2 linked regions of the Caenorhabditis elegans genome follow. The protein of the gene in region 2 purifies or fractionates together with the protein of the main gene of each other region. This does not show direct contact. Each region holds a gene or a part of one and is shown on either strand. Other genes may lie near its edges. The genes, in order: cdk-4 and cyd-1.

Region 1 (14,518 bases), on a different chromosome or scaffold from region 2:
TCTATATATTCAATAGACGATAAAAAGCAGCGGGGCAAAAAGAAGAAAAAGAGAAAGAGTGTTGGCTGGGCTTCTTCTCCTTGTTCACTCCCGGTTTTCCATCATTGACTCCGATGTTTTTTTCTTTTCCTATTGCCTTAGCATCGGATGTTTCACATCCTAATCTTTTTACGTTCGACTTTCCATGTTCCTTATGGATTTCTATAATCTCGTAAAAATACAGTAGAAAGCAATTTTCATGCCCATTCCAACACAATAAAGATACGTCGTTGACACGCCAGGGCATTTGAGCATTGCACCCAATTTCCACTCCATTTATAAATGTGGGCGAAAGATGAGGAAAGGAGGGCTGCACGCCTTTTTTCTTACTTGCCTTCATTCACGCCTTCCCTTGTTCAGTCACTTTAGTTTCTCCCATTTTGCTCATTCTTATGTGAATTTGGTTTCACAATACATTTTCCTGCTCTCGTCCTTTTAGCAATTTTCTATTTTTCAGTACGATGGCCCAAGTTCCACCGCCAATGACTCAAGTGGTTACCAGTGCTCCACCACCGACCGCAGCAGCAACCGTCGTCGCCGGTGCAGTTGCCGGACAACCACAAGCCGTCATTCAGCAGGGTCCACCGCCAACAAACATAGGATACCCGCCAAATGCAACCTATTCGATGGCTTCACTCTACATTGGTGATCTTCATCCCGATGTTTCAGAGGCTATGCTATTCGAGAAGTTCAGTATGGCGGGACCGGTGCTTTCAATCCGAGTGTGCCGCGACAATACCAGCCGCTTGTCGCTCGGGTATGCCTACGTCAACTTCCAGCAGCCTGCTGATGGTGAGTTTGCATTTTGATTAAATTCAGAAATTTTGTGAGATAGCTCTTTAACATCTGAGACGCAATGCACAGCGAAAGGGAAGATTGTTGTATGCACAACAGGGGACGTTGTACATATATCACATGAACACACCAGTACCAAACCGTGCTCTCTCACCTCGCAACAACAGTCCCCGTTCTGCTCACACATCTCTCTGTGCAGAATTGCGCAATAAAGAGAGCCACTAGAAGAGTTGCCACGTCACAGTATGACGTAGTCTGTGGGAAACAAGTGTTTATAGAATGCATACCAGGTGCTAGAAAATTTGAATGCTTGTTATATAAAAATGAGGAAGACAACTCATAAAAATATGTTTATTTCAATTTATCACATGGAATATAATAATTCTTACAGCCGAGCGCGCCTTGGACACTATGAACTTCGAAGTCATCCACGGACGTCCAATGCGTATCATGTGGTCCCAACGTGACCCTGCTGCTCGCCGTGCCGGAAATGGAAACATCTTCATTAAGAACTTGGATCGTGTCATTGACAACAAGTCCGTCTACGACACTTTCTCGCTTTTTGGAAACATTTTGTCTTGCAAAGTTGCCACCGACGATGAAGGAAACAGCAAAGGATACGGATTTGTTCACTTCGAGACTGAGCACTCTGCGCAAACTGCCATTGAGAAAGTCAATGGAATGCTTCTTTCTGATAAGAAAGTGTAAGTTTACCCTATTGAGTTGCAAGTTTAATCGTTTAAATTTTCAGCTATGTCGGAAAATTCCAACCTCGCGCACAACGCATGAAGGAGCTTGGAGAGAGTGGCCTCAAGTACACCAACGTCTTCGTCAAGAACTTCGGCGAGCATCTCGACCAGGAAAAGCTTTCCGCAATGTTCTCCAAGTTTGGAGAGATTACTAGTGCCGTAGTGATGACCGATGCGCAAGGCAAACCAAAAGGTTTTGGATTTGTCGCTTTTGCTGATCAGGATGCCGCTGGTCAAGCTGTTGAAAAACTCAACGACAGCATTTTGGAAGGAACTGACTGCAAGCTTTCAGTCTGCAGAGCTCAAAAGAAGTCTGAGCGTTCTGCAGAGCTCAAGAGAAAGTACGAAGCTTTGAAGCAAGAGCGTGTCCAGCGTTATCAAGGAGTAAACTTGTACGTCAAGAACATTGAGGAAGATCTCAACGATGATGGTCTTCGTGATCACTTTTCTTCCTTCGGAACAATCACTTCTGCTAAAGTTATGGTTGATGAGAACGGAAGATCGAAGGGATTCGGTTTCGTGTGCTTTGAGAAGCCAGAAGAGGCAACCGCTGCCGTCACTGATATGAACTCCAAAATGATTGGAGCCAAGCCACTGTATGTGGCCCTTGCTCAACGCAAGGAGGATCGTCGTGCTCAGTTGGCATCTCAGTACATGCAAAGACTTGCAACTCTTCGCATGGGACAGCAGGCCAGCGGAGTTCCAGCAATGACTCAGCTCTACCAGCCAGGACAACAAGGATACTTTGTTCCAAATCCAATGAATGTACGTTTCTACAAAGTTAATTCAAATGTCTTAATTTCTTAATTTACAGGCTCAAGGGCGTCCAGGATTCCAGCCACAATCTGCTCAAATTCGCGGACCACCAGGACAACGCGTGTTCCAAAACCAGATGTTCATGCAATATCCATTCAATCAGCGCCAAGTTTACCCACAACAACAGGGACGTCCACCAATGCGAACCAACGATGGTCGTCCACAATATGGAATGGCTCCAAGACCAGCCGGAGCACCACGTGTCGGAGGACCTGGAGTGCAGATGGGAGGGGCACCTATTCGTCAAGTAAGCTTTAATCCAGATAAAATGAATACTACTCTCTATTTTTCAGCAAGGACCAGCCCCACGCGGAGCACCACAGAAGCCGTTCTACCAAGGACCACCACGCCAGCAACAACCACAACAGCACTCCCAGCAACCAGCACAACAGCCAGGACAACAAGGACAAGGACAATCCGGAATCGTTATTCACGGACAGGAGACTCTTACCTCCCATATGCTTGCTCAAGCTGCTCCACAAGAGCAAAAGCAACTTCTCGGAGAGCGTATCTATGCTCTTATCGAGAAGATGTTCCCGAACCACAAGGAGGCCGGCAAAATCACTGGAATGATGCTGGAGATTGACAACGCCGAGTTGATCATGATGCTCCAAGACGCTGAGTTGTTCAGAAGCAAGGTCGAGGAAGCCTTTGGAGTGCTCACCAATGCTCAGAGTGCTGCTGCTTCTACTTCTGCTCCAACTGCTAAAAACTAAGCTCTCTAACTTCATCTTGCATGCCAAGGTCGTAATATTCTCTGATATTCAGAGCAAAAATTGTTGGCTATACTTTTTGGTACTGAAAGCAGTATTCATTCTGCATTTCATAATTTCTCATCCAATTTTTTTACCTTCCCATTTCCTATTGTACTTTCTTCAAATAATCTTACAAAAAACCCCAAAAAAATTTAAAAATCTGGAGAAAAAATTAAAAAAAAAGGAAAAAAATTCAAAAAATTCAAAAAAATGCTTCTATTTTTCTTTATTTCAATTTCACATTTCTTGCTTGGTATTTAAAATTGTCTTGAACTGCGTTGAAGCTGATTTCTTTAACGAATGTGTATAGTTTCATCTGAAAATCCCTAAAAAAAAATATTTTTTCTTTTCTGGTCCTCTCTCTTGTCTCACTTCAATCCAATTCAACATTTATGTGTACTTTGTTACTTTCTCCAGAATTTCGGTGTTTTTTTTTTTTTCATCAAAAACTTGGAAACCTAGAGATTGCAACTAATTTTTAACATGGTAATTTGTTCGGCCTTGTAATGTACTCCGAAGCCCAAGCTCAGAACAAATCGTCTCACCCCCGCCAGCCAGCAATTTCATTGAAATTAGATGCTTCTTTCTGAATGCTTTGATATTTCTGTGCAACAATGTGCAACTTTGTCATTTCCCGCCTAATAATATGCTCTTTGTGTTAATAAGTATATTCCCACTTATATAAGTTATTGCAACTCTCACCCCTCCCCATCCTCCCATAAAACCTAAAATTTTTCTTTTGTACCCCAATTTGTACCCACATAACAATTGATACATCCATTCTGTGGTTTTTCCGATATCCCAACATCTTATCGTTTTCCCCAGAATTTTTCTAATTATCATTATAATAATTTTGTTGTAAACTTTTTGAATTAAATAATGATAAATGTATCTATAAAAGGAACTCATCTGTTCTATTTTCAAAATTACTTTCAAAATGCGGAGAAACACTCAATAATGGTGACCTGATATTTAATAACAACAGGATTACTTGAATATAACAAAACATAATGCGGCATCAAAAATCAATTTTCTTCAATTTGATCAATTTGCAAAAAATCTGAACAAGTTCTTACCTCTGAACTCTGAACTTTGAAAATGAATATCTGACTTAAAATGAACTTTTTGAAAATGTTTCTTCGGGGACTTGTTTCAAATTTTAAGCGCTTTCAGAATTTAATAACAAAATTTTTCCAGGTGCCAGAAGTTTTAGGTTCAATCCAGAAAACTGAATTTGAGCCATATAAATGACCGCATTTGTTTATTAGGAGATTTATTTAGTTTGTGTAACTTTGAAAATTAATATCTGACTTAAAATGAACTTTTTTGAAAATGTTTCTTCGGGGACTTGTTTCAAATTCTAAGCGCTTTCAGAATTTAATAACAAAATTTTTCCAGGTGCCAGAAGTTTTCAGTTCAATCAAAAAAACTGATTTTCAGGATCAATTTTAAAGTTATGAAATGTAAGTAAATATGAAAACAAATAATCGGTTATATTGCATCTAAAAAAGTGCGGTCAGCCACATGCCTAAAATTTCAGATTTTCTGTTTGAACTGAAAGTTTGTATTAAGTTAGTATTTTTTACTCTCCATCACGGAAATTGTAACTTACAATTTTGAAGTGTTAATTTCAATACTATTTGATAATAATAAGAACATATTTGTTTAGATTAAATTAAGGAGTTTCAATGAAATTCAAAATCATTATTGACAAGTCACAAGAGCGAAGGAAATCACGGTCAATGGTTTTAAAATCAGGCAAGATTTATAGAATAGTTTGTTCCACGAGAATTTCTCCGAATCCCGCTGGTGGAGCTTCCGTGAAGTTTTTGAATTTGAGATCGAGAATTGCTGAGTCGTCAACATACACCATAGGGTAAACCTGAAAATGATAACAATTTCAATAAAAAAATTGATTAGGAAAATTGTGGTTTGTGTCCAAATGGTTGCATTCCAAGCCAGGGATCATATTAAAAAGTTGAGCGCAACGAATGAATATTGAATCTTAATCTTATTAGGCACTGTTCCTAAGTGATTTCTTAATCCCTTCAAATAATCTCTTGGCATACCGGGCCTCGAACTCCAGTTATCACATCTTCCACTGCTTTTCCGTTTACATAGAACTTGAGCTCCACGTGGTCATATGCAACACCCTGAAAGGTTGAGTTTTTAACAGATTTACTTGGTAACAAATAGTTTAATACTTTTGTTTTTTTTTCTTTAAACTTCAAATTATATTTGAGTATTTGCAATCGTTACTTGAAATTGTATCACATTATTTGTATTCCATTGTAAGACATGTTAAGCTTTAAAAAAAACTAGCAATTTGTTTTGAAAGTACGAAATAATTCCATTTTTCTGCTTATAAAACGCACCACAACATCTCCTTCCTCCACAGTTTTTGTCATTTTTGCCACGACCTCATTTTCCTTTGCAATGTCTCCATTATCTCTGATTCCCCAAAACTTTTCAGTGCATGGGACTTTGTCGAATGGTGATTGCTTTTGTCCTAAGCCTATTCCCCATGTTCCTGAAAATAAGACATTTGTACTTTTTTAATTTCATTTGAGGAAACACTAGTTTTGAAAAACAAAAACTCACCGGTTTGTTGAACTGTCACTTGGAAATATGCTTTGTTTTGCACAATTGGAACAGTTGCAATCGCTCCTCCAATACCGCAAATTCGTTCTCCTTCTTTGAGAATAACTACATTTTTACCTATAAAAAGTTTAAAGTTCTTTTTTTTTTGCTTTTTTTTACTACATAGCGTATTTAGTAAAACATACTCATGTTAATGAAACTTTATCTGCTGGATTGTTAAAGGTGGAGTAGAGTCAAAAAATGTTTTGCTTTAAATGGCAGAAAATAGACCCTAGTGACCGAATATGACTGTGAAAAATATTAATAAAAACATTTTTCAATTTTTTATAAATTTTTTCAATTTTTCAAAAGTCAAAAAAAAACGCCAAAATTAAGTTTAAATTTCCGCGCAAATGAGAGACGTCATTTTTGATATTCTCACGTTTTCTGGCTGAATGCTAAAGTTTTTTTTCAAGTTTTTTCTCTGTATTTGGCTCTGTTTGTCAAATTTTCCAACATTTTTCCAAAAAAACCATATATAAAAGAATAATCAAGAAAAATCGACGAAAACGCGAAAATACCAAAAATGAAGTCATTCATTTCATTTTTGAGAAATTGAAAAAATTTTTAACACTTAGTTTTTTTTTTAAATATTTTCATTAGGGTCTATTTTCTGTCATTTAAACGAAAAAAAGTTGACTCTACTACACCTTTAAATATTTGTTTAAAGTGTGAAGATTTTGGAACGTGAACAAGCCAGCCAACTTTAAGTTCAAAACCATACCCATTCTCCCCACATCTAGTCGTACTGTTGGCTGGTAGACTGCGTTAAATCGTGGATACGAGGCATTGTCAAAACTGGAGCCTTCCACACAGTCGAAGCACGGTGCCAAACATGAAAACCAACCACGGATATTGTTCATCTGAAAATTTAGTGCTGGATGGTAAAATATTACACGCGTTTTCAATTAAAAAGAAACAAGGGGGAGTGAAGATGACAATTTTTTACTAATTACAAATATTTGTTATCTGTTGAAAAAAGAGTGTTATGTTTTCAGTTAATACCTAAATTGTTTGTCAAATTGAGTCATTTGTAATCTAGAATGAACAATTACAACTTTAAACTCATAAAAGAAAGTTGCGAAATTCGTATAAAGTATGAAAACATCAAGCAAAAACATGCATGTAGTTCGAGCTCATCACGTTTGTCAATAGAGCGCGTTTAACGCATTCTGTTTTAATGGTGGCAGCGGTGAGAAGAGTCGGAAGGCAAGAGAGCACGCGAGAAGAAGAGATGACAGAGAGCTGACTTGAGATAATGTGCGCTGGTTTATTCCCTTTGTGTCCGCGCTCAGGGGGACACCAGCTGTTGTAGAACCACCGAAGAATTGCCTACCGACAGTCACAGTCCATCTTCTTGCCAAGGTTGCCCTTTCTGTTTCTTTCTCTACCATCCTCCGCTAACCGAGTGCTCTTTACCGGCAGACAGTTTTCGCTGCAGAGGCAGAGGAGACACACCGCTCTACCGTCTGCCAGCAATCTCTTTCTCGTTCGCCCGCCAATAAAATCGGATTTTAAATTTGAATTACATAGATTCTTAACTCTTGCAACATTATTTTTTTTGCCTCCAATACCACGTTAGACACTTTTGAATGTTAATTAAAATTTTTTCAGATCCAAAATGTGCGAGAATCTTTATGGAGAGGAGTACAAAATGGAGATCCTTCGACTCCAAAAAATGATGAATAATATGACTTGCGGACAGATGGCAAAACCCTTGACAATGAAGGATTTTCAAATTCATCAGGTATGATTGGAAAAGATTACAGTTAGAGGACCAAAGAAAACTGGGTCAAGGAAAGTGTGCGGTTTTTGAATATTCAAGGTTGTTGAAAGCGCTTTCTTCGGAAACTTACGCAAGTGCAGTCGCAAAAGTGCAAGAGGATTAGATGAAGATTTTTTTAACTTTCGAAATTTGAAGATAATTCCCAAAGTTTTCACAAGAATAGAAAGTTCGTTGTTTTTTCGATGATAGTGTGAGAAACCTTTTGAAAACCGTTCAGTTTTGAAATGAACAAGTTTTCTAAGTATGTGACTAATTACTCACTTTTTGCAATCCAAACAAACTAATCAAAGTATTAAAATTTGCGTAATAAGAAATTATTTTTGAAAGATAACTATGGTGTGCTCAAAACGTGCTCAAGAAAAATATTTGAAAGTTCCCTGTCTAATTTTTTTTCCTGAAACAAACTTTTGTCTCTACCAAAGATTTTTCGATTCCCTAAAGACGTACACATGTATAAGCTTTTATCAGTGTCGGCATGTAAAAGAGAAACAAATGGCAACATTTCTGCTGAGTTTGCGTGAAAGTCAGTCAACGCCAATGACGAATAAAAAGAATAGAGGGAAGGCGGCAATGAGATTGTTTGCTGCGAAACATTTTTTTTTTGCTTCAAAATAGTTTATTTTGGTTTCAGATTTCTATGGATAAATAAAAAATGAGGTCATAAGTTTCGTATTTCAAATTTGAATCAAAAGATCTAGAGCAAAACAAAAGCCCGCAACATGTGAGAATTTTGAATATTTGAATACATTAGGGAAGGAGTCTGCAGTGAAAAATGAACGTGGCTCTGAATTTTTATAAGGATTAATTTGAGTGATTTGATAGCTATTATTGTTTCTGAATGTAAAATATATCCAAAGTTTGATCCAACTCGATCCAAAATATATTACCCAATTTTTATAGTCGAAACTAATAATTGTTAGGCAAAATTTTGGCAAGAAATTGTCTTCGAATAGAAATTTGCCCTTATTTTTAGTAAAACTGAATAATGACAATCCGACATATACTTGCTATTAGAAAAAAAAGTTTAGAACTGCCATCAGATTTGAAAACTTTTCTGCGAGTTCTGGCAAATTGCCAACATTTAAAAAAAGTGAGCTTTTGAGGAAATCCAAAACAATGCCGCATATTCCGACCCCTACAATGTTTTAATACAAATAATTAAAACAAAATTAAAGAATAAAAAGTGTAGGAGAACAATTTTTTCCGTCGACTTCCAAAATAATCAGCGGCAAAAACCGAGTAATTTTCACTTTTGGACAGTAATTAAAAAATTTTCAAAAAAAATTTTGAAAAGTTTTATCATCAAATTCGGCAATAATGGGACCATAGCAGTGGTGTTTAGCATTTTCCCCACTGGCGCTACTCCATCTTTAACATTTTTATTTCAGGCTCTTGGAAAAGGCGCCTATGGAAATGTGTACCGTGTTCGAAGCCTTCATGATGGAAAAGACGTATGTTTTTGTTTTTACATTATTGCATCTCAATTGAATTATTACATTCGAATTTTTCAGTATGCACTCAAGCAAATCATGATTTCTTCGAAAAACGAGGGAATCCCGCAAAGTGTGCTTCGCGAAATAACAGTGATGAAGCATCTGGCACGAAAAGCTCATCCGAACATCATCTCCTTAAAGTCTGTTTTTCATCAACTTGACCCCGTGAGAGCAATTCTCAAGATAAATATGATAATGGAAAGGTGTGATTGGGATTTGCACACGTTCCTGCGCAATATTCCACGCGGAGTTCCGGAGCAACAAGCAAAACATGTCACTGCACAAATTGTTCGAGCACTGGATTTTCTTCACACACACAGTATCATTCATCGGGATTTGAAGCCTCAGAATATTCTACTCAACAGAGATCAAACCGTGAAATTGGCTGATTTTGGATTGTCAAAAGAGTACTCAAATACAACGGCTTTCACAACATTAGTAAGTTTTTACGCTTAAAACTTGATTTCGAGAAAGCATGTCTATACACTAACTTATTTTTCATACAAATGTCTTTAAAAAAAAGATTTTAAAAAAATTATTGTATGTATAAAGTCGGTTTGTATTCGGTTTTCAAATTAAAATTATAGAACAAACAGTACATTTTTTAAGAGTTTTACCTTTTCTTTTTAAATTTTTAAAAATTAGTTATTTACAAATACGATTGTTTTAGGTTGTCACTCTTTGGTATCGATCACCGGAAGTTCTTCTTCAATCCTACTACAACAGTACAGTTGACATGTGGGCTCTCGGGTGCATTGTATCGGAAATTTACTGCCGACAGCCACTTTTTGTAGGCCAAAACGAGGCTGAGCAGTTGACAGACATTTTCAAGTAAGTTTTACAAGAAAATCTAAAATTTAGTATGTATGTTTAAAAAACCCGTAAGATTGCCTAATTACAGAAAAACTGCAATATTGAACTTATATTAATTGTTCAGGAAAATGGGCACCCCAGTTGGCAAGGATTGGCCGAGTGAATCTGTCATCGCCCGAGACTCATTCCCACAATATCGCCCGACCAACCTCAAGGATCTGAGCCCGCAGATGTCAAAACAGGCAATCGAGTTTGTGCAACAGTGCCTGAGATATGATCATTCGAAGCGACTTTCTGCTCGTGGAGCATTGAGCCATCCGTTCTTGAAGCCTGCGGTGGCAACAAAATCTCGTGTTCTCAAGCAAATCAACTTCAACAAGTGAAACCAGATATTCATTTTTTTTTGTATTTTTCCATTTTGACTTATTCATTTTTTTTTTCAATGTTATGACACTTTCTCCACGTGTATATATCTTTGTGTGCTGCTGCGCTGTTTTATTTTTAGTGTGATCTCTTAAATGTTGTGAATTCCTGACAATGATTCTTTCATATTTTTTTAAAATAAAGTTTTTTAGATACTATATTTTCAAAAAGTAGGAGCCTTGAAAACAATAGAAAAAGAATGAGGTAGTCGGACAGAAATGAAAATCTAAAATAAATTTAAGAAGAAAATCACTAGAAGTTTTTATGTAGAGCATTTTATCAAAATGATGGGCAGCAGATTGTTGACATATCCTTTTCAGTCGTTCCTACTCCGCAAATAGTGATTAAATCCTGATCTGAAAGAGTTATTGGCATTTTTCAAAAAATTTCCAACAGCTCTTATTGATAGATACAATAACAGCGTTTTGAGGAATTGTTCCATATAGATGAACAATTTCAAATTTAATTATGAAATATTAAACTTTTAGAAATAAATTATATGGTCAATTAAATTTGTACACACATGGACTAACAATAACTTACCTTTCAACTTTAAGCAATTTTCAGTGGATGTGCAAAATTTTTGAACTATCCTCACAAGGTTTTTTCCACAATAACGCTTCAAGGGCTCACCAGTTGCAAAGATCAAAACAATGCAAAGAAGCATTAAAATTGCGAACTTCATCTGAAATTATTGTTTTGAACTTGTTTTTAATTTCGTAGTGATATCAACAGCTTTTTATTTTTTGAAACCGTATTCGAATCATCATAAATGTAAAATAGTCAGTATAAACTTGAAAAGTTCTATTATAAAATGTTAGCCAAATTCTAATCTCAATTCGTGTACCTGGAAATAAATTTTTAAATTGATAATACCATTGTTTAAAACCAAATCTCACCTCAATTTTCTGTAGTCGTAGCTACAAGTCGTCAACAAATCCGCAATTTAACTGGGAGAGTTTAACCCGATTTCTCCTAGACATGTGTTCCAGTGGGCGTGTCTTGCAAAATGTTGCAAAGTTTGAAGGTTCCACCTCTGACCCCAATACAAAAACGAAGAGTGGCAATTGGATGTTCATTGAACTGTTAATAGAAATGTGACAGTTTGAGAATTCTGGGTAAAGGTGCACCTGAAATTACGTTCAAAGTTTTAAAATTTATTTTTTTTTTAACTGTTTTATTTAAGTGAATAAGGTACAACCAACAAGCTAGGAACGTAGAGTGTACAGTAATTGTACAGTAATATTTTGTTGGTGTCATGGTTAGTCAAATTTCCATTTTGCAATTGTTTTTCAAATGTTAAGTACAACACGTTTTTCAATAATACATGTATTCTGAGTTCTGGCGAGTCTGTGAATCAATACTTTACACGTCGTTTAAGAGGAACCTACTAGAAGGGATAATTATATAATTTCGCTTATTGTATTTCGGCAAGATTTCAATATCCCTGCGCGATAAAGGTATCTACAAACTTTTAAAAAATAATAAATTTGGGGCAATCTTTTAGTATTTTTCAGAACTTTTCAAAGTTATTTGTTCCCTTTGTTCTATAGCGTATATTTTTTTACTGTTTTTTTTGTCGACTTTGTATTCCGGTTTTCTTTCACCGACAAGTGCTGCTTTTTTTTCTGGAACACTTACACTTGGCCTCTGAGCACAAGGTTCAAAATGATTGGCGTGGGCTCTACGCGAGTTGACATACGACACAGTTGTATCGCTTTTTCTTCAGAGAAATTGCAAAAAAGTGTTGAGGGCTGTCGTGTAAAGCAAAAAAGTTTAACAGATCTGTAAAAAATGTTTTGAACATAAAACAATCAAAAGAGATTGCACGATAAAATTTATTTTCAAAAAGCAAAGGAATGAATTGAAAAAAAAATTCTGGTGTTTGCGTCGTATGTGTTAGTTTTCACAAGTTGTGCATACTGAAATACTCTGAAACACTATGAATCAGCGGTTTTTGGAATTCGGAGCGGCTTCCATGTTTTCATGATCTTCTACAACGTCATTCCATTCCAGAATCGTCACATCGACGAGATTTTTTAAACATGTTCAGAATATTGGCCAGTCCAATTAGGAATTTTATCGTGCTCGATAGCTCAAATAATGTTAAACAATGAATAAAATTAGTGAATCTTCAATGATTTATTGATTGCCGTGGTGTCTGCTGGCTCCATTTTTCAAAATGTATGAGACCAATTCTATTGAGAAACAAGGAATCACTAAATTGCGACGGTGAAACAAAACGCAAAAAAGGAACAGAAAAAAAAACACTACTACGTAGGTATTATTAGGTAGGTATTGTACTTAGGTGGGTAGGCATTGTTTTGATTTAGGGTGCCCAGAAAGAGAAGAAAAGATTTGGTTGGCGCCAGCGGGAGAGTATTGTGTTTGGATCAATCAATTATAAGGTCAATAGTTTTTGAAGAACTGTAGGGTTGTGGTGTATTACTTTAATGCCGTCAGCAAAGCAAGCAACATTTACGATGGGATCTAAATCAATCAATAAATCATTTATAAACATTATAAAAAGGGGCGGCACTGAACATTATAAATAAAAAGAAGGGGACGTTAAAAGTAAATTTATTGATTTGGATAGAGAAAGTTCTGCTGTTGTTAAATTCTTCAAACCATGAACAGGTGAGGTTATCAAGACTAAAACTATTTAGTTTATTAAGGAGGATACCATGAGAAAGTTTATCAAAAGCCTTAGCAAAGTCGAAAGTTAACAGAACGGGAGGAGGACGAGTTTCTAAAATGAAGAAACACATGCTAATAATGGGAAGAGAGATAATGCGGGAAATATGTGGTATGTGCGGATTTGAGAACAGATGACTTGTTCAATAATGCGAGCAAAGGGAACAGTTAAAGATATGGTCTGTAGCCTTCTTGAGGATAGGGATAATGACGTAATGTTTCCAACGAGCGGGAATTTTTTCTTGTTAGTTACAGAGACTGTGCCGTGGAATAATTTACAATTTTTCCAACAATGAGCCAGAAGTTATTATCACTGATTTCGAAATGAGCAACACCGTCATGTACTCGAATTATCTTGAAACAGGAGACCAACCTAAAATTAACTAATCGTATCAAAATAAAACAATTGAATTAAACTAACGCTGGTGTTGATTGTGTCCCTTCGATTACGATAGACTTCTCTAGACTTGTTTTTATTTGCACTGCATTGAAATGTACTAAACGAAAGCTCCTTTCCTGCCATTTCTTGAGTAGGTAGTTCAATTGTCGACTAGTGATATTGATACCTTTCAGGTCAACGGACATGAAATTAAGCAAAAAATCCATAATTTGTTAATTTTATAATTGCATAATTTTATATCGTGTGGTATTGTCACATCAACTCGCAACTGATTCGTCTTAATTTTCAAAAAACTTCGAAAAAGTTTCTTAGGCATTAGTCTTCCGATGAAGTTCACACACACAACACATATTTTCTTACGAAGTAGAATTGAAACAATTCTTTGAACCTGTAGTTCTTTAAAAGAATTACTTATATAAAGTTTAGCATAGACTTCTAAATGCTCGTCAAGACTACAGATTATTTCCAAAACTCGGAAAATATCCTTTCCTTTGTATAGTTTTACGCTGCAATTTTTGCCAAGAATTTCAAAGTGATCCTGACTTGCAATTACATCAATATAAAAAATTTCTGGAAACCAACATTGCCGTTGTTCTATGTATCTTATAGCTTGTTTCACAAAGGAGTTTGTTTTTCTGGGTGACACACGAAGCATGCACCTCCACTCTCTAGTAGTATTGCATCTAAATAGGTATCCGAAAATTAGTATTGCATGCCTTACTAATAGAGGAAATACGGTAACCAAATTAAAGAGAGCGAAGGTGAAACGAGACGCAAACCTTAACAACCCAAAAACACAGTGAAAGAAATGTAAAGGGAGAAACAGAGACATCAAGGGAAGAGTTATATATAACGGAGAGATGTCAGGGAAACATGGCCGAATGGTCTAGTGGTATGATTCTCGCTTTGGGTGCGAGAGGTCCCGGGTTCAATCCCCGGTTCGGCCCATCCTTTTTCAAGTTTTTGACCGGAAAGTATTTGATGATAGTTTTCGCTGCGAACAGATAACATGCAGCATAAATAAAATTATGTTCTCAAACTTATAAAGTTAAATTCATTTATATTGACAAGTATTTACAGTATCACACGTTACTTTATTGGTGCCAAAAAATCAA
Region 2 (16,290 bases):
ATTTGAAAAATTGATAAGAAGGTTTTTTTCCAATAAATTTTTTACAACTTTTGAAAAATTTGAAAATCTATAACAGATTGGCAATTTTTAATTGTAGGTGTTCTGGCTTGTAAGAAAAACTTTCTCCAGGCTGTCCCATCACGTTTTGATCTACAAAAATGCGGGAATTTTTAACCCAGAAAAATGTGACGTCATCACGCTCTTAGCCATGCAAATCCAGTTCAGAAGTCTACGTCTAAATTCCCGCAATTACGTAGATCAAACCGACATGGGACACACTGACGCCACGTGTTTCTCCAGTTCTAGACAAGTTCCAGATGAAAACTAAGCGGTTTTCCGATTTTCAAGCACAATTTGGAGATTTTAGATAACTTTGCTTTTTGTCTATTATTACAGAAATTGCCGATTTGCTGGAAAAAATTCAATTTCGTCACAAGAAACAAATTTTTTTGCACTGTTTTATAAAAAAAGGGGCCCGTCCACCTGCTTCACATATCTCTGATCTTCTACTAGCGCAAGCTCAACGTCATCAACAGATGCTAATAATGTATGTTGCGCTTATGGTCAAGATTTGAATAAGTGCTCGCTTCACGAGCTTGCAGTTTGACGCAACTCTAGAAGTGGGGGTCTGTGTGACGTCACAACCTCGAAGGGTCAAACAACGTCATATGGTGATTCCGGGTAAATAGTGAAATATATGTTTGGTGGTTGTGGGGAATCTTTATTATTTCACAAATAGAAAAAAGTAATCATCGAAACAGCGAGAATTTTTGTACAATACAAGTAATTTCAATGGTCATCAGAATTGGGTGTAGGAAGCGAATTGAGCAAGAGGGATCTGGAAAAAAGATGAAAGAAGCAAGTGGGAATTCTAGTATAGAAATGATTAATTTTTGGGAGGAGGCTTGGGCAGGATTTGACTAATCACAAACGAAGTCGTGGATGTGACAAGAACCAGGAAGCAGTTGGAATTTCATAGGAAAATCCAACAAAAGGTTCGAGCACATCCGAACTCTCGGAGAGGGGGAGGGAGGTGGAAATAACTTAGAATAAATGTTTTAATATATATATATATTATTTTTTTCAGAATAATAAGAATAATAAACTGGAAGATTTGTTGGGAACACCGGTTTAAAAATTAAAGTTTAGGAAATAATGCAAAAGCTACATAGAAAATGGAAGACTGGATGTGTTTTGAGATTTTTTGGGATTTGGTTTCGAATCGACATAGAAGCTAAACAATGCATAAAATAATGGGTAACAAATGTTCATAAAGTCTTGAAGATCTTCGGCGGCGTCGAGTCCTCCTCAAACCAGTCTGTGCTCCGACGACGCTTCTTCTCTGAGGATGCGGGGCTGGAGACATCAGACGAGAAGCCCGAGTCGTTGAGGGGAGTTGATGGAGTTTGCTCGGAGAGGGGGATCGGCTCGAGGAGCACAAGCTTCTGGAAGGCAGGTTCCTCTGGTGGTGGAGTTGGGAGGGGTTCTTCCTTGAGCTCCTTGAGCTCTTGGAAGGCCTCTGGCTCTTGAGTGGAGGCCGGCGCGGATGGTGTCGGTTCCGTCTTCTCAGCATCTTCTGATGTGTAGATTGGCGTTGTGCTCATGCAACGCTGCACCATCGGGATGTACGAGTCGAGAAGGTTCTGGAAAAGGTTTAGATAAGAAATTATAAGTGCTGATTTTTTTTTCACTAACCACTTCCAACTGGAACATGTTTGCCAAGAGATCCTTGATCTTTACTGCCAGCTCCTTATTCTGTGTTGGGAGATTCGATACGTAGTAGAGGCCAATTGCACATTGCATGGATGGGAATAAGGTGGCAAGTTTGTGCACTGAAAAACCAATATTCATATTATTGATTTTATCATTAAAATTCCAAAATTCCAAAATTTAAGTTCAATCTTTTCTCCCCCCTTGGCCCATTCATCACTGTTCCCTCTGCCAATCATTCGCTCGCTCGCGCCTCAAGGTTTCGATTTCAATCATTAAGAAAAATCGAAGAGGGTGGCTGTGGAGGACATAGATGATTATCTACGAACAAGTCTCTAAGTGTCTGGGCGTCTGAAACATCAGTGGAACTCTCTCTGCCTCAAAGTGCGCGTTTTCACACCTTCATACATATCTTCCAGGGGTCTGACGCGCCAAAAATTTTGAAATTGAAACGGGCTGGCTGCCGAGAGAGAGAGAGAGGTAAAACGCTTATCTTGTGCTAACATAAACTTTGCCTACTGTAGAGGAAGGTCGTCGTGCTATTTTCATGTAATTTCACACTCCTTTTTCAAAACCGACTCTCCAAACCGCTTGTGACATCACACGTTCTTCACAATGCCTTGCGTCAAAAAAATCACCAGAAGCCCATTCAAACATGCGCAATTAGGCTATGCTCCTTTTAAGCCTCGAGCACCTGTTGACAGTATGTGTAGGATCGCGCGGTCATGTTGCATAATTGAATAGACCGCCCGAAATGACAGCTGGTAGACGATGATGATGATGGTGATGATGTAAAGATATTTGAAAATCTGGGAAGCATCTCATCCTCCTCAATGAGGATGGCACACGCTTCCGTAATCCCAATAAAAAAGTAATCGACCGCGAATGAATTTATATATCGGTCAAACGGATGTCCAACGATTGATGACTCCTTCTTCAGCTGCTCCTTTTCAAATTCCACTACGGGGGCACTGTCAATCAATTAGGCCTTGGCTGATGAAACATTCATTATTATACGATGATCTCCATTCAAATTTCAAATTCAAATGTCATCAGTTGCCCCAGAGAGATGACCCTTCCCATACTGTCATAACATTAATGTAGATGATATACATCCCTTGTCATCGGTGGTGTCTTGGAAGAGCAGATTGCGACATAACTTTTCTTTGTGTGTGAGGGCCGCGCAACAACAGGCACAACATCACGGGGGCTCGTCATCGTAAATCAAGAAGCGCAGATTTCACTCCTTTTCACCCCCATACATACATACCTACAAACACACACACACGGTATTCTTTCATAATCTAGCCCAAATCTTCCAAATGTATAAATCAACGGGTAGGCACGCGCCAGGTGGACACAACTTTCCTAATCCGTTTGGATAACTGAACATCCATTAAGGCAGAAGGATATGGGGGGGGGGGGGGGGGGGGCAAACACTGCGAGATGATCGATCAGAGCATTCCATCACGCTATCAAGTTGCCAAAGGCGATGCCGATCGGAAGTTTTGTTCAAATAAACATTGGGCAATAGGTACAAGGGCATTTTGAAAAAGGTATTGCCTACTGTAGAGCCTATTCTTTGAAGTCACTTCAACCGCCGGGATTAAAGCGACATGTGTTTAAGGGGAGTCGCCTTCTAATTGTTTCGGGTGTCAAGTGATCCGCAACAGTTAAACGGTTTCCCTAAGAGCCCACTAATTTCACCCCCCAAGCCATGCCGCCCGGGAGATAGCTATCTATAATTGAACCCGGGCCACCTGGGCTGTCATGTCACTATTTACAGCCATATTCTTCTAATTCAGATATTCACCCAGATGTTCTTAAGAGTAATTGCAAAATTGTACTACCCCACACACACACACGCGCACACACACAGTCATTTTTTAGCGTCTCAGTGTGTCACCACAGAGGAGGACGGCTTGAGAACAAAGAGGACGCACAAAATTTTGTGTACCTGGTACTGACTCACTTACTTTTTGGTATCTTATATCTGTAGTTGGGGGGTGGGAAGCCTTAACAAAGGCGCTAAAACCTAGGTCAGCGCGTGTCAAATGACCAATGAGCCGTACGCAAAAACTAACAACTAACAACTTTTGGACTGTTTGCATAGGCTAATTCCGAAATTTTCCTCAATTCAATTCGGTCTAAGATGAACTTTTTTCGATAGGTAGGACACTTTCCCTTGGGGAGATAGGACTTAAGCTCATTAGACAAAGACTGGCCCACTAGCCCACCTGCTGTGCTGGAAAGAAGAAACTTGTTTGTTTGATTTGGCTTAGGTGGAGGTGGATTAGGCTAAATTAGGCTGGTAATGATGAATCAATATGGAAAGTGCAAAAAAAACAGGCTTCTTCCTTCTTTTCTAGAAGCTATTTTTCTCCCCTCATCCCGGCCAAAAATATCCTAGTAAATCTCATTTTTCTTGTCCCTTCCACCACATTATGTAAATGCAACGGTGTCGCTCGCCCGACCCTACCGCACAGTCCTACGACCACCCATCAAAAAAACTTGTCTCTGTTTCCTTTTTTCGCCCCGGGAACCCTGTATGGGTGGCCCACCGCCGGCAATAAGTACAAAAGAATGGGGGACACGCGACGCACACACACACAACATCATCCAAAAAACGACTTCGATTTTATAGAGATTAGACGGGAGAAAGAACACCCTTCCGATTGAAAAATGACACGCGCCAGGGCACCAGGGGGGGGGGGGGGGAGTGAAAGGAACAAAAAAAAAACTACTGGACTAGGTGGAATGAAAGAAATGAAAACTCACTTTTTTGGCACTTCTGCACAACTGTCTGAAAGTCGCCCCTCATGTTGTGAATCTGTGGGATTCTTGAGGCGAGAAAGTCGAAGAAGGAGAACGCCGTCGGCGACTCGGTCTCCCATTGAAGTGTCGTCACAATGAGCAGCTCCCACTGAAGAATCATATCGATGGGGCAACTGTTATCCGAGTAGTAGGCGATCTTCGACGCGGTCATCGGATGTGGGGCCTTCAGTTTACTGGCGATAAACAGCGCGACTCCGGCGATCATCTGAACGGGTCTGATTTCATAAATGTTGATATGATGGGAGGAGAGGCAGGAGGATTAGTTTATGTACTTCTAACACTAGAGGTGAAATTCCAAACATACTCAATATACTCACCTGAATATCATGCTTCAAAATATTCTGCACCGACATAAACCTATCGATCAGCGAAACAGCCAACAAGAAGACGTCGCCATCACAATTCTCCTCCTTTGCCACGTCGTAAATCCAATCGATCGCCTGCTCTCGATGAAACGGCGTGATGTTCTCCTGAACGCCGGTGAAGTAGTGATAGTTGGGCTGTAGCGCCTCCTCGTACTCCATACAGTTATAGAAGGCTCGCATGTCGAGTTGAATATGAGGATCCGTACGGTTATAAATCAGTGTTCGGACATTATCGTTCAGAGCAGCCGATCGAGATGGGTGTAATTGACAGCTCACATTTGACTGGAAAATTGAAAATTGTATTTTAAAATTGTACTTTAAAATTTAAAATTGAAAATCAATAATTATGTACATACATGTTGAATAGATGAAGTGGTCGAGATTTTCGAAAAGAAGATTCTTATCTTTTTTCACTTGGAGGAAAATTAGAAATTAAGCGTGAGGGAGAGAAAAAGAGTGGGCGACGAAAAAGGTGTCAAAATTTTGCCGAAAAAAATCTACCAAAAAAAAATAGAGAAGGACAAGTCTCCTACTGCGACACACACACAACTTAAACACCAGAAAAAAAAATGTTACCTCGGTAATAGATGTTTCCGACAAAACTGCTGAAACTTGAGGAAGCATCGATAATGTGCATGGCTCCTCTGCGTAAGATGTGCTCGGACCAGCCGACGACGACTCAAAGTCCATCTGGAAATGGAACTTCAGGAATTTATTATTAATGCTTATTATTAAATCTCAAAAAGTTAGTGAATTTGAGAAAATTGTCAAGTGGAGAGAGAAAGCAAGAAAAAAAAGTAAGTCAAGGTACGGCACCTTGACTCGCAATGACAGTCGAGTGACCGGAGGCGGGTGACTGCCAGGGACTCCGCCCAGTTTTTGCGCACCCTCTCCCCCACCTCCCCCCAGGGCCAGCCGTCTCCCCCAGGCACATGAAGGAATGAAGGTGATGATGATGAAGACGGGGGGTTTTGGGATTTTTGAGAATGAAGAAAAATACTTCTGCGCTGATGTTGCTGACTGAACGACGACGAGCTGGCAGATGACCCAAAGACAGCGGGATACTGGGTCAGCAGTCGGCAAATTGCAATATTGGGAAGAGGTTGGCGGGGGTCATAAGGTGTTAAAATATTGATTGGTGCACAGTTATGGACCACGAAAAAAAAACAAACTGCGGATCGATAATTACGTCCTTGACAAAGAAAGGTGTCAAAATCACTACACTCTTCCGGTTTGGCAAAGTTCCAAGGTTAACGGGAGACACGGAGGGTACTAGCAGCTTTTCCTGTCTAGACAGGTAAAGGGTGTCAATAAGGCAAAAAAAAATAAAAACGTTCAGAATGATTAACATTTTTGGGTAATATGTTTAAAAAAAAAGTGTTAAAACTAATTGAAATTTAAAAATCAATAAAATTTTGATAGTTATCTAAATAGGCTTCTAACTTTCCAAAAATCAACAAAAATCAAATTTTGAAAAACAGAGAAAATTACGCATCTTCTAGCCTTTCCAAGTATACAGCAGAAACTTCAAGTTTTGTGATATGCTCTAAAATCACCTAAAATACTTTGAGCATTTTGGATTTTTTCTTATGATGCTCTTTTACTAGAAAAGTATTTAGAAATGACGTTAGTTATCGTCAGTGTTAAAATACCCTTTATAATTTTTTTACAGTTAAAAAGTGGGTTTTCACAGTTTTTTGACAGGCTTTAATTTTTTGTATTCATATATTATAGGGATGAAAACTTGTAGAAATGCTCGAAATTACTGAAAAAGTCCATATATATTTGGTTTTTTTTTGCCAAAATTTAGACTGAAAATTTTGAAAAATCTTAAAATAAATCCAGACTGTTTTATCATATATTAGGTAGTTTTAGACTACCAAAACTATATTAAGGGCCAAATCTCCTTTAAAGTGTCCAAAAATCTATGTGAAATTCGGGCCTTTTCTAAACATCTACGCTACACCTGAAAGCGCCTATTAATGTTAATATATAGGATTTTTTCTTACGGGGGCTCTTTTACTGGAAAAATAATAAGAAATTATGTTATTTATTGTCAAGGCTAAAATGTCTTTTGTAATTTTTTTTACAGTCAAAAAGTGATTTTTTGACCTACTATAATTTTGAAGTTCGTCTTGGACTGAAATTTTTGACATTTTCTAAACATCTACGCTACCCTTCAAATTCAAAAATTTGTCTCCCATGGCAGCATATATATATATTTTTTTGTATCTTTATTTCTCCCCCACCACCTTTAAAAAGTTCATCCAAACACTAAACCACACACACGACATTTGGCCTATTGTTTTGGGAGCCACCCATTGAACACAGTGGTGGGTTCCCAAACTCATAAATTGTACCGGACAAGCAACAAATCAGACGGAGCAGGGAACGGGGAGAGGTGGATATGGAAGGTTAACACTCAAGTAATCTTAGAAAAGTAGAAAAAGTGAAAGTTGAGAAAATTATGGTAGTAAAAGAGATTGGGATGCGCCATCCCACACGTACTACCAGGTGTTCGGCCAGCTGCCCATATCTGGCTGACCTTCTTCTTCTTCTTCCAAACATCTTCTTATATTTCATTTGACTCCCCTAACATTCCCACAGGCAAATAAGGGACTATCATAGCAGGGCTCAGCTATCAGTTTTCGCGCACCATCTCCCCCTCTAATGCGACACTAATCTGATGATGGACAAGTGAAAAGTGTGACCTTTCCAGTCGTATATTTGAACAAGAGAGTGTGAAAGATCTGATTGAGATAGGTGTGTGTAGTTGTTGAATGGGGCAATTGGCGTGCTCTGATGACGTAGAGCGGGAGAACTCACATTGCGTAAGAAGAGGTCAATTCCAGTAGGACAAATAGAAAACAACGGGAGGGTGGTAGAAACGATTTGGCGGATCTACAGGCCACCCACGAGCCGACAGCAGGTCGAGCAACAGGTGCTCAAGATGACGTAGGTGAATTGAGTATATACATATATATCTAGATATGTATGCAACAATATCCATATTACAATATGTGTGTGTACTATTGCGTAGTTGGGGGCATGTTGAAATTATGAGCATTGCGTGATAGGATAATTATTTAAGAGTTATTATCTGATATTTGGGTTGCGGTAATTATGAAAAAGGTGAACGGGGAAGTTTGAATATCAAAATAATTTTGGTTTGCATGGGATTCTTCTAGCAAAAATCAATGTTTTATGGATAGGTAGGCCCATATTTTTGCCAGATATACAGGCAAGGTAGACGTAAGTTTCGACCCAAAACAAGTATAGGCATAAAGAAGGCGTAGGCACAAGGCAGGCATATCAAAGAAGACGTAGGTACAAGTGCAAGGCAAGAAACTGTTTTTCTGCCTAAAATAAAATTTTTGGAAAAATTTGAACTCGCATAACAAACCGTTGCAAACCAAAAAATTGAAAAGATAGCTAGAAAAATATGTAATAGTAAAATAGACACATTAAATATCGATTTCCACTAAAATTTTTCCACCACTTTTTGATCTACCGGAGTCCTTCATTTTTGAGTAGATCAAACTTTTTCAACTTGAAAGAACAAAGGATTTAGTGTCAGAGTGTCCCATTTCGGTTTGATCTACGTAGATCTAGAAAAAAAATGAGAGAGTTGAGACGCATTCTCAACAGATTTTGCATCGTCACATTTTTTGGACATAAAATTCCCGCATTTTTTTTCAATCAAACTGTAAGAAAGTCGAATTTCAAATTCTATTGAATTTCAAAACTTCAAAACTTCCAAACTAAAAACTATAAAATTTGCGGCCAGGTCAAAAAGCTCTTAAGCCAACTGTTACCAGTCAATTTTTGGACCGGAAAGTACTGTTTGATCTCCTTTAAAATCTCTCCGAAAACATCTGTCTCTCCATTATTCGGCTTCTTGAGCTCATTATGGCACCCACTTTTGGACTCAACAATGTGCCAAACCAACTGTCATTCTTCTGTAGGGGAATTCAAACGTCTCCTCCTCTCATTAATATTATCTGCCTGTGCGCATCGTTCCTACTATGCGGGAATCGTGCCCCAACTGCTGACAGATGGCTTTTCCTTTTTGTGTGGTGATTGTGTTTCGACACGGCAAATAATTAGATAAAAAAGAAGCGATGCCTTTTAGAAAAAAAACCGAAAAAAATTCAGAGACAAAGAATCGTTCGCGCATTGGGAGGTCGGACCCCCCCTCTCATGCACTTTTTCCATGTAAATTACGCAACATTTGTCACCCGAATCTGGGGATCGCGTGTGGCCTCTTGTGTTGTTCGACCTCCGTGATTGAATTGGAAGAAACAAAATCACATTTACCTACGCGTATGACTGAAATGATGAACGGAGGTGATGATGATGGAAGGTCGTTCGGTTTTCGGCGCCCCTCGGAGATGATGATTTGTCGTGCCAGGTAGAATTAAATTCAGGTTTAAATAATGATGCTCTAGACTTTTTGAAACTTTTTTTTTTGAAATTGTTTGAGGGGATCTTGTTGTCGCGCCACTCGCCTTGCGGTGGAGTACCGAAATCTAAAACTTTGCTTTTTAGACCCAAAATGAGCCAAAACTGCCGAATTTTGTTATGAGACGTTTTGTTAATTTCTCAAAAAAAGTGATGGCGGGCTCATTTTCAGCTAAAATCAAAAATTTTGCCACAATTTTGCCTGAAATGATGCCTGATGCCTGAAATTAAAAAAAAAAAACTTCAGAAAGCGTTTACTTTTGGAGTTTGTATTGAAATCTAGAATCTCTTATATAATTTTATTTCAAGAAGAATGTATTCCAAAAATTTAATCCCTATTAACTTTCAACTAACAGATTTCCATTTGTTAGTTCAAAATAGCCTACCTGCCTAGAAGGTGGCCTGTAGGCTTACGAAAATTGCAATTGTAAACCAGGCCTAGGTCTCCTCCAATATGAGTTAGACCTGCAGGTAGGCGTTTGATTTTTCTAAGGTGTTCAAGTTTCCAAATTTTCAGAAATGTTGCCTAATTCGTTGTTTTTTAAAAATAAAGCCAGGAGATCTTTTCACCAGTATTTCTTTAAATTTCAAGATCTAGTTTTCAATTTGTTGTGTATTGTTTTTCAATTTTCAATTCAAAAAAACCTACGTGTCTACAAGGCTTACAAGGCCCGTAGGCCTTTGAAAAAAATTATCAATGGTAAAATAGGCCTAGGCATCCTCCAATATAGGTTAGACCGCAGTCAGGCGGGTAGGCATGTTTGTGCCTGCGCTGAACCCCAGCTTTCATACTTCTAAAATGTTCAAGTTTCTAACCTTTCTGAATTTTTGCCCAATTAGTTTTCAATATAGTCCGGAAACTTTGAAATTTGAAAAATATTCAAAGTTTTTGAAATCGAATTCTTAAAGTTACGGTATCAACTATTTACCTGAAAATTGATCTAATTTCCAAAATATTTAATTATTTAGCTATTCAGGACTATGGTCTTTATCGGAAATGGTGCTCCTGTCATCTCAATGTCATCTCAATAAGCTGCTCAATTGGTTCGTGCCAGGCAAATTCAAATCCCATTCCACAGCTCGATGAGATCAGGCCTGCACTTTTAGCCAGTTCATACATACCAGTCAGTCGGCTAAAAAAGTGCACAAAAGGGAACGTTATCACCGGTAATGTTTGCCGTCTTCTCCTCTGTTCTTCGTCGTTTTTTTCAACTTTTATATGAGTGATGTCAGAATAGGTGAGAAAAAGTGAAAAAAAGCCAGAGAAGTTTTTTGTTCCAAAAAGGGCAAACTTTCTCGTGTCAACCTTGTGCCGGTACCGACTGGGGTACTGAAAAAACACGTCACTGGGGTCGACCGCCGAGTTCAAAGAGAATACGAGGAGACCACGAGGTGGTTGATGATGATAATCGAGGCTTTGAAATTATGATTGAATGGAAATTGATAAGGATCACTAGTGATAAGGGAAATAGTGGGGGGGGGGGGGGTGGGGGTGAACGGAAGCATTTGGAGATGGAGCGTGTTGGAGCAACTAGAAATTCCACCCTCCGAGGCGTAACTCGGGCCCTTGTGGAAATCCTGGTACCAACTAAACCACACGTAGATCTACAAAAAATGCGGGAGAAGAGACGCAGAGTTCTTAACTGATTTTGCATGGTTAAGAACGTTCTGACGTCACTTTTTTTTGGGCAAAAAATTCGCGCATTTTTTGTAGATCAAACCGTTATGGGGCAGCCTGGCACCACGCGTAGTCTTACAGTATTCCCATCACGGTGCATGATTGGGAGAGTTGCCGTAGACAAATGAGACTTTGCAAAAACAGGTTTTTGTCGGCTGCTCTTTTTTTTCAACGTTATCAAGGTATCATGGACAGTTTTTCAGAAATTTGAATAGTTTTTTGTTCAATAAATGTACAGTTATTTATTCTCACGACCTTTCCCCACTTTCCCACAAATTTTTTCTCCTGCCTCCGCACTCAAACAATCGTAAGATTGCATTGGTCAACTCTCTCAATCACAATCTCAACACAATTCTTATCAGTTTACAAACCGATAGGTCAAGCTGGGCGCCCTTGTGACATTTTGGGCTCCAAAATGGCACAATAAACATACCATAATTGTATAGCGTGCAAATATGTATAGAGGATTGTTTTTTGAAAACAAAGAAAAAAGTGTAGAAAACTATGGGGAAATCCTTGGCAATTAGTGTGTCCGGTGATTGACACCTCGAGACTAGATACTCACCGATTTTCAAGATTCCAATCTTTTTTGCTGTGAGGAGTTGACTGTGTGAGGACATACACATACAGTGATGGTGATGGTTATCTCTGGAAATGATGAACATGTTTATCTTTTGCAATGGTAATTAGTTGAGAGACGTCTGTAGGCGCCAGCAAGGGTAACTACGCGGAATTTCCGCCGTCCGGAGTTATTGGCGGCGCCAGTGATCATATGTGAGAGTTTGGTTAATGCTACTAGTTGATAAAGAACTGTACTATTCAGCTTGTATTGGGGAAATTATTGGGAAACATGTGAGAATTTTGTAAATTTGTGGGAATTTTTCCCATTTTGAAATTTTAGAAAAGCTACGTCACCTTGATTGCAGGATTATAGTTTTTCGAAATTTTAACTTGATTCGTGGTGAGACCTAGTGTGCGCCTCTAAACAGATTTTGGTGTTCAGAACAAAATTCTGTAAAAATTTATAAATAGAGGCTGAATTGCTCATAATAAAATGGTCAGTTTTATTTTCAAGATTTCTCGAAACTGGCTTTACTCGAGAATTTTTTTAGAAGCTTTTCCTAGATCTTTATAGGTCGATAGGCTCATTTATATGCCTACGTACCTACTTTTTGCCTGCCGGCCTACGCGCCTATTTTCTGTATTTAGGATTGAACTCAGATATTTGCTTCTGGAATAGAATAGGCTTATGCAGTTCAATTAATATTTGAAAAGAAAATACAAAACTAAGAAAATAATTAGGTAAGCTATAGGTAGGCTTTGGGCTTGAGGTAGGCGTGTAGGCACGTGGCGAGCCTGCTTTTTTGTACCTACTGAGCAGGCCTATAGTTAAACTATTGCTATATATTGAGTTTGAAACAAGAGGGATTTTTTCAGTAGAGCTTTATAAGTTTAATATCGGAACTTTTATCGAGTTTTTTAGTTTATTCTGTTCTATAATTTCCAAATGTTTGCAATTTCACACATTTCAATTTGATTTTCTCAAGGCTATGATGATTTTTTCCCGATTTTTCCCCGAAAACTTTGCGATGATCTTAATCTAAAAATCCCGTATAAAATGTATGACTTCCTCTGTTTCCCGCCAATTTTACTCGTTTCAAATTGGAAATGTGTGTGCTGGAAAATGTGGAAATGACTGAAACTTTAAAAAAAACATTAATTAATCAAAGCTTGCCAGTTTAAATTGAAGGTCTGGTCACGAAAACTTTGTAAAAAAAGAGCTGCTTAAGCTTATATTTGGTAACCGTCAAAAAATCATAGGTGCGCGTGTAGGCACGAGGCAGGCGTAGGTTGATTTGCAGGTACATATATGGATTTTTGTTGTTTTGATCTTCAACTAGGAAGATTACGGTATAAAATATATAAAATTTTGTAACCTATGCGCACTGACAACTTGAAGTGAAATCTCTGACAACCTAATTCAGCGTAGATTTACAAGATAAACAAGATGCTAAATTGTGAAAAACCCTCTTACCTCAATTCTCCGAAATATCCATCAATCAAGTGTCTCCATGTAAATTTCACGGTAGCGGATCGTTTCGATGTTTCGATGTTTGTAAAAATGCAAAGGTATGGAGAAACCACCTCATACCGTCCCTATCAGTGGCATTGAAAACTGGCACAACCTGTTACCAAAGGGGACACTTTTGTTATCAACTATCTTGTCTTCAAAGCACGCATTATTTCCCGCAAAGTGAATTGGTTCCAGTCACCGGCTCCTTATCAGTCTGAACACGCGGCTCGTTGTGTTATTTTTTTAATTGAATTCTCTTCACAGGTGTTCTGTTTATTTATTTTATCCTTATCAATAGGTGATAAGAAGAACAAGAACGCCGAACATAGTTAGTTTATTGACGCTTCAAGTGCTCTTATCAGTTGATTGTTCCAGACAATGATATTTGATATTCCAGGTGATAAGGAAAAAGGAATTCCAGCTTGATTTGCAAAGTTAGGTTGCAAAAACGATCATTATGCAAAACGTTTCAAAATGATTTCCTTATCTTTACTGTCAATCGGATAATAAAACCTTCAAAGGTGTGTAGGAATATGACTACGCTTTGATCCTACCCAATAATGGACCATAAAATTGCGGAACAGTGGCCACCTAGGTGTTGACAATAGAAAAGAAAAAATTAATATTCAAAACTGCTCCAGTAGGGTAGATCAAGCTGTGCTACCGTAAGATAGTGGTTACTGTAGCAAGAGAGGGTTTTTGGAAAGTTGAGAACGGTAGAGAATTTCAGAGGTTAGGTAAGTTCTTATAGGGTTACTGTAATTTTACAAATTTCAAGTCTTAATAGACTTCTGACTAGGAGATTTGTAATGGTTCAGTCGGTACTGAAGCGTTTTATTTGTAAGTAAAAAATGTCAGCCTCTACCTACCTGCCTGAGTACCTTCAAGGTGACCTGTGCCTGCCTGAAATTTTTCAAAGTAATCAATGCCTGCCTGAATACCTTTGAGGTGTTCTTTGCCTAACTGAACACCTCAAAGTCAACCTATGCCTGCCTGAAAATTTTCAAAGAAACCTATACCTGCCTGAATACATTCGATGTGACATATGCCTGCCTGAAAACCTACAAGGGGACCTTCGCCTGAACCAAAAGACATAAACTTGGCAATAGGTAAGCTCGTTAAGCAGGAAGACATAAGGTAGGCACGAAGATGTGCCTTTATGCAATGGAAGCAGGGGTGTGCAGCAAATTTTGTAATTTTTTCGGCAAATCGACTTTTTTTATACTGAGTACGGCGAATTCGGCAAATTTGCCGAGATCGGCCGATTCGACAAGTCTACACTTTTGAAATTTGCAGCGCTTGGCAAATTCGGCAAGTTGGGCAAATTTGCCACACACCCCTGAATGGAAGCTTTACTTTCAGTAGTTTACTAAAATTGTGTGTACTATCATAGTATTAAACATTTAAGCTAAGTTCTAATACCTTTTACGTAGGCCTCAATACGACTGAATACCTTTAAGGTTGCCTACACCTGCCCTGTGCCTACACGCGTGCCTGAAGCCAAACAATAAAAATAGACGATAGGTAAGTTTGTAGGCAGGTAGGCATGGGGTAGGCTTTGAGAACAGAGCGGATTTAAAAATTCAAACTAAATGCACAATGTTTGCCTATCAAGTTGTGTGCAGTACTTGTTGTAGATACTTGACGAGGTTACTGTAGGATTACCCTGGAAAATCTGCAATTTTGCACGCTTACATCCCAAATTTCCATAATGATCCTTATCTCAAAGGGTGTGTCCGGGTCAATACAATTGTCAGTCAATAAAATTACGAAACAGCGCAATACATAGCCCTGTGTGTATGCCCGTAATAAAAACAGTGCCCTCAAAAAGGGGACCGCACCTCGTTAACCTCGTCGTGTGGTTCTCCTAGCTCATTGTGTTGCGTCATCAGAAAAGAGAGGAGAAGGGAAATAATTGAGAATATATGGAGAAGGAGAACGAGACAGGTTTACAAGACAAGGGATGTAATGGATCGATGGATTGAGGCAAGTGGGATATCATTATAATATGTAACAGGTGTCCTTTGAGATTTGCCGATATGCGCTAAGCCTTCTTGAGGACCCGTGAAGCATTGGCAAGATGTGGGAAATTGGGGAGTAAGCTAATGTTCTCTAAATTTCACAAAAAAAAGGCCTGTTGGCATGTAGGCATGCAGGCATGCAGGCATGCAGGCATATAGGCATGTAGGCATGTAGGCATGTAGGCATTTAGGCATGTATGCATGTAGGCATGAAGGCATGTAGCCTTGTAGGCATGTAGGCATGTAGGCATGTAGGCATGCAGGCATGTAGGCTCTCTGCCACATGTTCTACAGCAATTATATGTAGGTGCCAAACCTTTGTATATTTTACGTTTTAAAAGTATTGTCAGAGGGGATTATTTTTATTTTTTCTATTCATGCAAACCAGGGGTGTGCGGCAAATTGGCCAAATTTGCCAATTTTGCCGGTTGTTAAGCTCGACAAATTTGCCGAATTCGCCGCTCTCGGCAAATTTTGAGATTTGCCGCACACCCCCGACACAAACCTAATTTATAAAAAATAATTTATTCTCAATATCAAAAAAATTCTAGGCGTAGTAATAAAAAAAAACATATAGCACATTTGAATCAATCACTAACAAAACATCTAGCTTTTGAAAGTGGATCAGAAGAACCCGTAAAACTATCGATTGGAGCACTTGGGAGGGGAAAACAGGCAAAAAAAAACGGTATGGAACGTGAATTTCAACGGGAGAGTTCTGAAAACTGGGAGTTTGGGGGAAAAAAATTTAAAAAATAAATAAAAAATTACGGAAAACAAAAAAGTTAAGCCCGCTCAGCGCTCCGAACGGATTTTTCAACTGGTTCCTCTTTTGTTGTTTTCTCGTCTTCTTCATCTTCTTCTCCGTTCACTTTGATAACTTTTGGCTCTTCCTTCTTTGGAATCGGACCAGCTTCGTGCATTTGCAACGGAGCTACCTTTTTCTTTTGCGGACCTGATGTTTTTGTGAATGGGAGGGCTGAGAAGACGATCGGGAGCACGACAAGACCATGGAACATTCCTAGGAAGATTACCAACACGACGACTTTCACGAAGACCTGGAAATTTTTTGAGATTTTTTCGTTGTTTGGAACTTTGGGATCCCTTTAGAATTTTGTAGTTTACAGTTTTTGCAAGGAAGCTTGA

The links.
Region 1: the proteins of cyd-1 (region 2) and cdk-4 purify together in Caenorhabditis elegans (affinity purification with western blotting, with the first as the bait; one study listed by BioGRID). This does not show direct contact.

Annotation. Positions count from the first base shown.
Region 1 is NC_003284.9:13,511,802-13,526,319, reverse strand, and holds cdk-4 (Cyclin-dependent kinase 4 homolog), read left to right. Parts: upstream 1-7,408; 5' UTR 7,409-7,415; coding exon 7,416-7,541; intron 7,542-8,968; coding exon 8,969-9,031; intron 9,032-9,091; coding exon 9,092-9,511; intron 9,512-9,743; coding exon 9,744-9,904; intron 9,905-10,010; coding exon 10,011-10,269; 3' UTR 10,270-10,464; downstream 10,465-14,518. Other genes in the region: pab-2 (Polyadenylate-binding protein), read left to right, coding at 501-831, 1,226-1,538, 1,586-2,348, 2,398-2,646, 2,693-3,115; F18H3.1 (SPRY domain-containing protein 7), read right to left, coding at 4,920-5,036, 5,224-5,307, 5,530-5,684, 5,756-5,872, 6,519-6,657. UniProt on the Caenorhabditis elegans protein: Serine/threonine-protein kinase which, in association with cyclin D-like protein cyd-1, is required for the progression through the G1 phase of the cell cycle during postembryonic development by phosphorylating and inhibiting lin-35 and fzr-1.
Region 2 is NC_003280.10:12,977,533-12,993,822, reverse strand, and holds cyd-1 (G1/S-specific cyclin-D), read right to left. Parts: upstream 5,601-16,290; coding exon 5,487-5,600; intron 5,193-5,486; coding exon 4,863-5,192; intron 4,751-4,862; coding exon 4,489-4,750; intron 4,358-4,488; exon of another isoform or gene 4,174-4,357; intron 1,833-4,173; coding exon 1,696-1,832; intron 1,644-1,695; coding exon 1,269-1,643; 3' UTR 706-1,268; downstream 1-705. Other genes in the region: ptr-18 (Patched-related protein 18), read right to left, coding at 15,930-16,202. UniProt on the Caenorhabditis elegans protein: In association with cdk-4, regulates the progression through the G1 phase of the cell cycle during postembryonic development. Regulates proliferation of the coelomocyte lineage and intestinal cells during late embryogenesis.